3 linked regions of the Tribolium castaneum genome follow. The protein of the gene in region 3 interacts with the protein of the main gene of each other region in a pairwise test. Links are inferred from orthologs where the notes say so. Each region holds a gene or a part of one and is shown on either strand. Other genes may lie near its edges. The genes, in order: Prosbeta6, proteasome subunit alpha type-1 and eIF2Balpha.

Region 1 (2,799 bases), on a different chromosome or scaffold from region 3:
ACATCTATTTTGATATGTCAGTATTTATTTCAATATTGGGATGATAAATTTATAAATAATATCGGGAACCATAAAATACTGTGAAAAAATCTATTAGCAATGTTGAACCGTTTGAAATTGATAGTTAAGTTTGCCAAAGGAATATTTAACTGAACAACAAATGATTTTTTTAGAGACATTTAAAGTTTTTCAAAAATCAAAAACAAAAAGTCGTAGAGTAAAATGGTTTGTTCCAGTAAATTTTGCGGCTCATACTACGTATCAGTTTTTCACGAGAATTCAAATTTTGATTTTTTTTGCTTAAAAATTTATTATTTTTTTAAACTCACTCTAGGAAAGCTTATGGACTTTTCTATGCCTTTATAACTCACTCGGGTTGTTAAAAGTATAAAAAATGTCAATAGGTTCTTAAAGTTTGAGTTTTTTAATTTTTGCGAAATTTTCTCGATTTTCGGTACCCGGAACATTAATCAAGCAGTAACACCGGAACTATTTGAGATAACCATATGGTCTAATTTATTATCGTTAGAAAGCTCTTTTATCTATATTTTTCAAAAAAAGATGATATTGTTCTCCGGCTAAGAGTTTTCGAAGAAAATTGCGAATAAAAGCAAAAATAGAAAAAATAAAAAAAATCATAAGTAAAAAGCTATTGGAAGTTTGGTGATTTTCTTGACGTCGATTGATTTCCAGGATCATTTTACACAGGCTTAGACCAAAATAATTTAGAAAATAGAAAAATAAAAATAAATAAATTATTTTTTAGTTTTTTTATGATTTTTTCATCTCTGTTGTTAATTTCATCCTCATCAAATAAATTTTTATTGTAAGAAAAGGTAACTGGTTTAGTATTAAAATTATCGTATCGGAGTCAATTTTTTTAAGTTTTAATTAAGATAAATTAATATCATCCACATTAAATAATAAGTCTTTAATTTAAAAGGTTAGCTTTAATTTAGTTTTTAAATTGTCATATCTGTACCAAATGTTTTTTAAGTTTTAAGGTAAATGTAATAAAGTTAATGTAATAAATGTTGTTAATTTCAACCCCATTAAAAATAAATCTTTAATCAAAAGAGTAATTTTTGGTTTAATTTTTAAATAATCGTGTAATACAAATATTTATAAGTGTAATAAATTAGTCGTTATACGTTTAATTATGTTTTTTTTTCACATATTTATCGTAAGTTCGGCGGTGTACCTAAACTAAAAAAATTTGGCGCTGCATGTTATTTTTAAAATATTTATTATAGGCAACCATTTATACAAATACCAAATTCGAGCCGACGCACATTCTTTACTCCATGCCTGGTCTGAAAAGTAGTAAAAAATAGCCTTTTTTGTAAGAAACACGTTTACGACTAAAATTTTGATGATTGTGATTTATTTAAGTATAATTTGTTGGTTTTGTAACGATTCAACCGTGTACGATTTCGGTCGCTTCCATATTTGACATCTGACATCTTATTTTGTGTTGTCATTCAATTCGAGTAAGTGTTAATACGAAATGGCTTTATTACACTCCGAAAACCGCCCCAATTACCCCGACTATGCTACAGCCCCCACACAGCACCACTTCAGCCCCTATGCCGACAACGGAGGGTAAGCATTCCTCACATTAAACCCCTCCCTACAGCCCCTTTTGTAGGAGTGTGGTTGCAATCGCCGGCGACGATTTCGTGGTAATAGGCGCTGACACCCGTCTCAGTGCCGGTTTTTCAATTTACACCCGTGACCAGAATAAATTGTTCCGTTTATCGGACACTACAGTACTGGGATGTTCGGGTTGTTGGTGCGACACTCTCACCCTGACCCGCATTTTGAGCGCTCGCATGCAAATGTACCAACAGGAGCATAATAAAACCATGGCCACACCGGCTTGTGCCCAAATGCTATCAACCATGTTGTACTACAAGCGGTTTTTCCCATACTACATTTCTAATATTCTCGTTGGATTGGATAATGAAGGGAAAGGGTGCATTTATAGCTACGATCCGATTGGACATTGCGAGAAAACCACGTATAGGGCTGGGGGCTCCGCGGGGGCCCTCCTACAACCGCTTTTGGACAATCAAATTGGCTTGAAAAATATGCAAAACGTCAAGGATTCTAAATTAACGTTGGAGAGAGCAGCTGCCATCATCAAAGACGTTTTTATTTCAGCCGCTGAGAGAGATATTTTCACAGGGGATAGCATTTTGATTAACATCATCACCAAGGATGGTATTAAGGAAGATAGTTTTCAATTGAGGAAAGATTAAATTGGTGTTTTTTTTGCTTAATAAATCAGTGTTTGGTATTGATTGTTTTATTTAACAAATATTTCGGTAAAGGAATTCTAATTCTACCACATACAATAATCTAAAAAAATTATAACAAATAGGTCACACTCAAATATCTAAACATTCGAATTATTACTTTGACGTGATGATTGAACCACGGCTTCCTTGATCAATGAGGGACACGGCTTAACGTGGCGCCATCTGTTAGTCAACAATTGGTTGCCATGGTTATTACCACCTAACTAGTGTTGCCAGACCTATTGATTTTTCGGTAGACCTAAATCAGTTTGAAAATATTTACACTACAGTATAGATTTAAAAAAATGTTGAATTTTTATATACTTTAAAATAACACGATAATGATACGAACTGCAAAGGCCCCTGCGTTTCCACGTAGAGTTTTGACTAAAGGGCATTTTTCGAGTTTGCAATAAAGGCACAATAAGCGGGGAATACATTAAATTGGGTTTTAATGAAAAATAAGTCTCAAAATGACCATAATGTCTAAAGTAACTTG
Region 2 (3,135 bases), on a different chromosome or scaffold from region 3:
AGTTGCACCCAATTCAGCGCCCACTGTTTAATACGTAATGACTTTCTCTATGCCTGTGATTTTTTTCAGAATTTTTCTACCCATTTTTCATTTTTGCAACTACTTAAGAGTAGTTAATTAATTTTAATTATAAGAAATTGTAGAAAAATTCTGAAAAAATTCAGCCTTAGAGGGAAATATAGAGTATTTAATAGCAAACGCTGAATTCAGTGCGATAATTAGTTTTTGAGGTTTAGTAAAAAATACACTTGTAATAGACTCACCCTGTCTACATTACAAAATGCTGTGAAAATCTAATAAACGTGTCTTGGAACAGTAACTTCAATATGCAATTGCGAAATTAAAAATTTTTAAAGTCCACTGTCGCCTAAGGTGTTTAATAAATTTTAAAGTGTCAAAGTATTTTAAGTTAAAATATTTTTTAAACAATGTTGGTTATCCGCCTTAAACCGGATAATCAAAAGTAAAAAGTTTGATTTTACTCGGCTAATCAAGGTTCTGCTGTAACATTACATTGAAATTTCTTTAAATATAGCAAGCTATGCGAGATATACGTCAAGGAAATTCTCACAGCACTTTCGCTTTACGTACTTTGTACATTTAGGGTGAAAAAATAAACAACGATTTACAAATTACTTCGTTTATTGATTATTTAATAAAAGAATACAGTTTAGTAATATTTAGTGATCCTGTGCCGTGGCTGCCTCACTTACGACAGCCACGGCACAAAACCAATCCAATTTCTCAGAGGTAAAACACAACTGATTAACGAAAAATGAAAAGGCCCCATTATCCTTATTCCGTATCCATTGCTACAGCTGGAACCGGATCCCTGGGGCCCTGGTCTTGGTCCCCCGCCTCATCTCTGAGAGGCCCTGCTGGGGGCTCTTGAGCCCCACCCCCTCTCCTCTCCTCACCCTGAATCATAGCCAAGTAAGGCCCAGTTTCATCATCGACCAAAATCTTGAAGCTTTGTCCCTTGCCAACGTAACCGATGGAAACGTTTTTAATGGTTAAGTCGACTTCAGGGGGCAAAGTGTCCCTAAGAGCCCTCAAGCCGTGTTTAATCAGCTCTTCAAGAGAACACGAAGACAATTCCTCCAAGTGCTTCTCCAGGTAAGTCCTAGCGCTCTGCGAACGCGCCCCAATTGACATTGCCTTACAGTCGTAGTAATTGGCAGAGGGGCAGGTCTGGTAAATGTGGGCCCCCTGGTCGTCATAACCCGCCACAAGGAGCCCCACGCCGTAGGGCCTGCGGTCGTACCTCTGAGTGCACAACTGCATCTTGTTTCCCAGCTGGCTGATGAGGCGGTTTAGGGGCAAGTGGGTGTCGTGCGAATACTTGTAATTGAGGCATTCAGTCCGCATGTAACGGCTCAGGATTCTGGCGTCGGCTGTGAGGCCTGAGATGGTGATTCCGATGTGGTCGTCGATGTTGATGATTTTCTTCTGGTAGGCTGATAGTTCAGACGAGGCTCTTTTGAGGGCGATGAGAACGGCGTGAGTCTTGCTTTTGAGACCCACGGTGGCGGAGCCCAAATTTACGGCCTCCATGGCGTACTCCACCTGGTGGAGGCGGCCCTGGGGGCTCCAGACGGTCACGTCGCTGTCGTATTGGTTGCGAAACATTTCTAACACTGATTTTTACTGAACTTTACCGGTTTTGTTTTTATAACCATGTAATGCTGCTGTGTCACTTGCGGATATTTTTGACAGAATAAGACATACGTTTTTGACAGTTTCGATAAAAAGGTCTCTGTAAAGAAAGGCTAAGAAAAATATTTTTACGCTAGAAAAGCTGCAGGTTTTGATGAATATCTTAGTTAATTATATTAATTATTATTATACAAATGTAAAAGTTGTAGAACTAAATTTCTTATAAGCATAGGAAACTGTAACATTTTCTACTGATGGTTAGCCAGTCTGCGCTTGATAGAATTCTTTATTTTAAGTTTAAAAATTTACCATAGTTAATTAGTATTAGGGTCATACAAACGCAAGGACATTTTTAAACTTTAGTACCTTTTTGCGTTCTTGTAATCGTGGTACCAATAATTTAAAGATTTGTCTGCAACCAGCTATACACTTGTGTGTATTGTGCATCCAAATTGCCTAGCCTTAGCATTTTTTTGTAGAAACAGTTTAGTAAAAGTTTGTTGTTATTTTAAAGTAAAATGTGTAGGTATTAAGGTCACAGGAACGCAACAAGATTTTTAGAAATTTTAACTTTTTTGATCCAGGTACAAAATCCATTTTAAAACTTTAATGTGTATTAGGATCACAAGAAAACAAAGAGGTTTTTATATTTTTTACCTCTTTGCACTCCTGCGGTCCTGGTCCAAAATCAATTTTGAAATTTTCGAATAATTATTTAAAAGTATACAATTGTAAATGGTCTTAAAAAATTTACAGGTTACTGTAATTCGCTGTTTTACAGGAGCATGCAAAGATGACACATAAAATTTTATAGGTACCTATAAAAATAGTACTCTAATATTCAGTAATTAGATGTCATCACCATGTATAGATAGTCCTGGTGAACCAACTTCCCTTATTTTCCATTGTCGGGCGCAAACCAAAATGTGGAGCAAGTTGGAGCTTTTATTTTATCTGACAGATGGCACCAGCGTAGACTGGGACTGTCACAATGTTTACAAGAAAAAAGATACACGCATCACGTTGTTAAAAATACGACATTTATGAAGAACAATTAATACCTGAAGGATGCCCGTACCGAATGGTAGTGGAGTTTTTTTTCTGGAAAGCATTTATTCTGACTTCAATGTTTCGATGTCTTTCGCGGCCGAAAATGCATCGAACCGAAGTTTAGAACTATTCGGAAAATATTATTATTTCAGCGCGAAAAAAGCAGAAGTTGTTACAAGATGACTAACTTGGGTGCTGAGATAACATTTTTTAATTTCGCATCATTTTTTTATAAAAAACAAAGAAAATTTCTGAAATTGTGACAGTCCCAGTCTACCGTGCTGCCATCTATCAACTTGCTCCAGCGTTAGAATCAATTATAATAGCGAGTTGGTTTACCTGTCTGTCTCTATACCGTGGATGTCATTACCTCTCCTAAGACAGTGACATCTAGGTGTCGAATACATAAATTTAATTTTACAGGAAACT
Region 3 (3,478 bases):
AAATTTGTTGTTATTTAGATGTGGGCGGAGCTTCTATTTAAAGGTGGCGTTAAATGTAAACGACTAGTTCGTAGAAATAAAAAACACAAGTCATGGCCCATTTTTTATAAAAAGTACGAATTTAAATAAGCCCCACCCACTAGTTTAAATTCAATCAACACGTGACCAACCAAACTCCGCCTCCACATTTTGACAACCGTCCAATGCGAAAAACCAGCAAAAAAAACAAAAATATTTATTATTTACATTAACACGTGCATGCATTAAAACGCATTTTCGTTATTATTTTTTTGGTGGCGACGAACTTTGACTTTAACCTTCGACGACGCGTCCAAATTTACCCCCGCTCCCCTAGCACACGCGTTCATTGACCTCGAAAACCCCATCTTCCCCTATTTATAAAGGGGTGCATAATTCGACCTTGCGGCCCAATTATTCACAGGACCGGACCCAAATCGATAATACAGGACCGTATTTGAATCGATAACGGCGGCGGTGGAGGCGGTTTCACTCTCGCCGCCGCCACCGTTTTAAAGGGGATGAGACGCGACGCTTATCGATCGGGGGGCGGTCTTGCCGCCCCCCAAAAATATCATTCAAACACTCACCATACTAGATGATGCGAAGAAAGTTGGTGGTGTTCACACCTGAAAAAAAAAATTATTTTTTTTGAGTCATAGTAGGCTTGTATGCAAGTCACGTGATTTTGACATGTCGTTAATTAGCGAAAGCGCAGTTTTTGCCAAAATCTCAAGGTTTTTCGAAAGCGCGTCAAGGCTACCAACCGAAAAAAAAATCGATCAAATTCATTTGTTTACTCCGGAAATTGAGAACGTGCCAAAAATCCCCCAACAAAAATAAAAATATCCACGTCAATCATAATTAATCGCACGATACGGGCTTAAAAATGGGGGAAAACCGCCCCATACAGCCCCCTTTTAGCGGTGGTGCAGTCTCAAGGGGGCCCATCGCCTACTAACAATGAAGCAGAAAGTAACTGTACTAAGGAAAATGGCGACAGACAATTATCGAACTTGGCCCAACATATTGCGCAAATTTCGGCCAAAAGGGGGCTCCCAGGGCCCCAATTTCATAACAAGGGGGCACAAAGACATGCAAAGAGGGCTTTATACTCACATAAAGGTAATTTTAGGCCAAAATAATCCAAAAAAAACTGAACGATGACAGGGCAATCCACATCAACTACACAATTGATAAAGTTGGTCTGGTAATGACACGTGACCGGAATGAAGCCCGCGGATTGGTTGGCCGAAAAATGTTGCTAAAGCGACATCTACAAGCGAATTTAAAACGACCCCCATAATTTAATTCGGGCATGTTTTTTTAAACCAAACGTTATACTAAGTGTATAAACAAAGACCCAATAAATCAAACACACACATTGTTTTTATTTTGGTGGTGTAAGACACGGCGGGCGTGACTCTAACCACTGCCAAGACCACGTCGGTAAGGCAGTGACCAGTCAAGCGAAAAGGGAGGTTAAGTCAATTGTTTAATTTTGAAAATAAACACAATTGTGACAATAATTTGGCTTTAAGGCCACGTTATTTACATAATAATGGATAAGCAAGGTACGAATGTTACACTTTTGCAAAGTTTTGGGCGTTTTCAAGTCACATATGTGGCCCTTTTTTTAGAAGTTAAGGCCTTTTTCGACAAAACAATCGCCGAAAATGAGGACCTGTCGGTGGGGGTTGTTGCGATAATGACCCTCATGAAAATCATCGAAAAATATCAAGGTTAAAATAAATAAAACGCCACAAAAACCTAACCTCACTTTTCAGACAATACGGTTCAGGGCCTTGACGAGAACCTAAAACTGGGCATTTTGGCAATAAAAACGTCCGACTATCCCGTCACCGCGATAAATTCCGGTTGCGAACTTTTTATGCGCTTCATAACGTTGGCAAAACTTGACTACAATGTAATAGAAAAAAATTTAATTATCACCCAAGTAAATGAAATTTTAGAGTTTTGAGCAATGTCGTAACGTTATGCTCGAACGTGGCAACATTTTCCTAAACAGATTGAAACAATGCCGTGCCAAAATCGTGAAACTGGCCACAAAATTCATAGCTGACGGTTCTGTAAGTTTCAAGGTCGTGGGTGTGTAAACCCCCCATTTTTTTGTAGAAAGTCCTCACACATTCACGGTCACGTGTCGTGCTTCAAACTTTGATTGAGGCGTCACGTCAAGGCAAACAATTCGAGGTTTACGTCACGAAATCCGCGCCTGATAACAGCGGGTAAATCCCCGATTTTGTACGATTTGGCTTGACGTCACGTTGCAGGGACGTCATGTGCAAAAATCTGACTAGTGTGGGAATCCCCTGTACGTTGATTCTCGACTCTGCGATTGGTTATGTGATGGAACAGGTTGATTTTGTCATGGTGGGGGCCGAGGGGGTTGTGGAAAGTGGGGGGATTGTTAATAAAGTAAAAATAACACTATTGGTTTGATTTTGGTTAATTTCGTTTTGTAAGGTTGGTAGTTACACTATGGCCGTTTGTGCTAAAGAAATGAAAAAACCCTTCTATGTTCTGACGGAGAGTTTTAAATTTTCGCGCCTGTTTCCACTAAATCAGGGGGATTTACCGCCGGAGTATAAGGTAGGAAGGCGTAAAAATAATTAGGGTTAAGTGTTGGTATTACAGTACTCTGCAAGTGCGCGTCAACTTGATGAGAGGGATTTTAAGAAAATTCATCCCTTAGTGGATTACACGCCCCCGTTTTACATCACTCTATTGTTCACCGATTTGGGGATTTTGACTCCGAGCGCCGTCAGCGACGAATTAATCAAATTGTACTTGTAATAAATTTAATAAATTGACAGTTTGTGGCTAAGGTTACCCCACCAAATTTTTTAAAATTTATTGATTTTAAATTATTACCTGTAACAAAATCTAAAAGTTTTTTGGCACTAGAGTCACGCTAACTACAGGCACCTCATTCAATTATTTTCCAATTGAAAAAACCGGGTTTGTGGTTAAGGTTGGTCGCCCCTGGGCGCCTTTCCACGGTGATAAGATAGCGCGCCATTTAAATAAAACGTTTATTCAAAAGTCAGTCAAACTTTTTACAATAAAATACAAGTTATAAAATGTTTATCAACGTCACAATCACAGTAATTATAGCACACTTGATATTGGCAATCTCTGATCACAGGAATGACACTCTATAGGCGGCACATAGTGTTTCCACAACTGTATAAATTTGCTCAAAATTGGGCCTATTTTCCGGCTTATATTCCCAACATCTCAGCATTAAACGGTACATTTCGTCGGGTGTGTTATCAGGTGCCGGCATTCGATAACCGGCGTCGATTTTTTCCCGCGCTTTTGAGTTGCTCAAACCACTGTAGGGGGTTCCCCCACGTGAGAAAATCTCCCAACAGAGAATACCGTAACTCCAGACGTCGCAAAGCGACGTGTATTTGCCTAAAAGTGGAAATGTGAC

What was found.
Region 1: the proteins of eIF2Balpha (region 3) and Prosbeta6 interact in a two-hybrid assay, tested with the Caenorhabditis elegans proteins (2 studies listed by BioGRID). The link is inferred for Tribolium castaneum from reciprocal best matches to the Caenorhabditis elegans genes eif-2Balpha and pbs-6.
Region 2: the proteins of eIF2Balpha (region 3) and proteasome subunit alpha type-1 interact in a two-hybrid assay, tested with the Caenorhabditis elegans proteins (4 studies listed by BioGRID). The link is inferred for Tribolium castaneum from reciprocal best matches to the Caenorhabditis elegans genes eif-2Balpha and pas-6.

The regions. Positions count from the first base shown.
Region 1 is NC_087394.1:25,341,564-25,344,362, reverse strand, and holds Prosbeta6 (proteasome subunit beta type-1), read left to right. Parts: upstream 1-1,383; 5' UTR 1,384-1,507; coding exon 1,508-1,602; intron 1,603-1,648; coding exon 1,649-2,261; 3' UTR 2,262-2,299; downstream 2,300-2,799. UniProt on the Caenorhabditis elegans protein: Non-catalytic component of the proteasome, a multicatalytic proteinase complex which is characterized by its ability to cleave peptides with Arg, Phe, Tyr, Leu, and Glu adjacent to the leaving group at neutral or slightly basic pH.
Region 2 is NC_087394.1:35,801,453-35,804,587, forward strand, and holds proteasome subunit alpha type-1, read right to left. Parts: upstream 1,739-3,135; 5' UTR 1,630-1,738; coding exon 796-1,629; 3' UTR 625-795; downstream 1-624. UniProt on the Caenorhabditis elegans protein: The proteasome is a multicatalytic proteinase complex which is characterized by its ability to cleave peptides with Arg, Phe, Tyr, Leu, and Glu adjacent to the leaving group at neutral or slightly basic pH.
Region 3 is NC_087400.1:176,719-180,196, reverse strand, and holds eIF2Balpha (translation initiation factor eIF2B subunit alpha), read left to right. Parts: upstream 1-1,427; 5' UTR 1,428-1,579; coding exon 1,580-1,592; intron 1,593-1,658; coding exon 1,659-1,760; intron 1,761-1,805; coding exon 1,806-1,945; intron 1,946-1,991; coding exon 1,992-2,108; intron 2,109-2,154; coding exon 2,155-2,267; intron 2,268-2,312; coding exon 2,313-2,457; intron 2,458-2,505; coding exon 2,506-2,631; intron 2,632-2,676; coding exon 2,677-2,835; 3' UTR 2,836-2,895; downstream 2,896-3,478. Other genes in the region: tyrosine-protein kinase Fer, read right to left, coding at 3,182-3,459.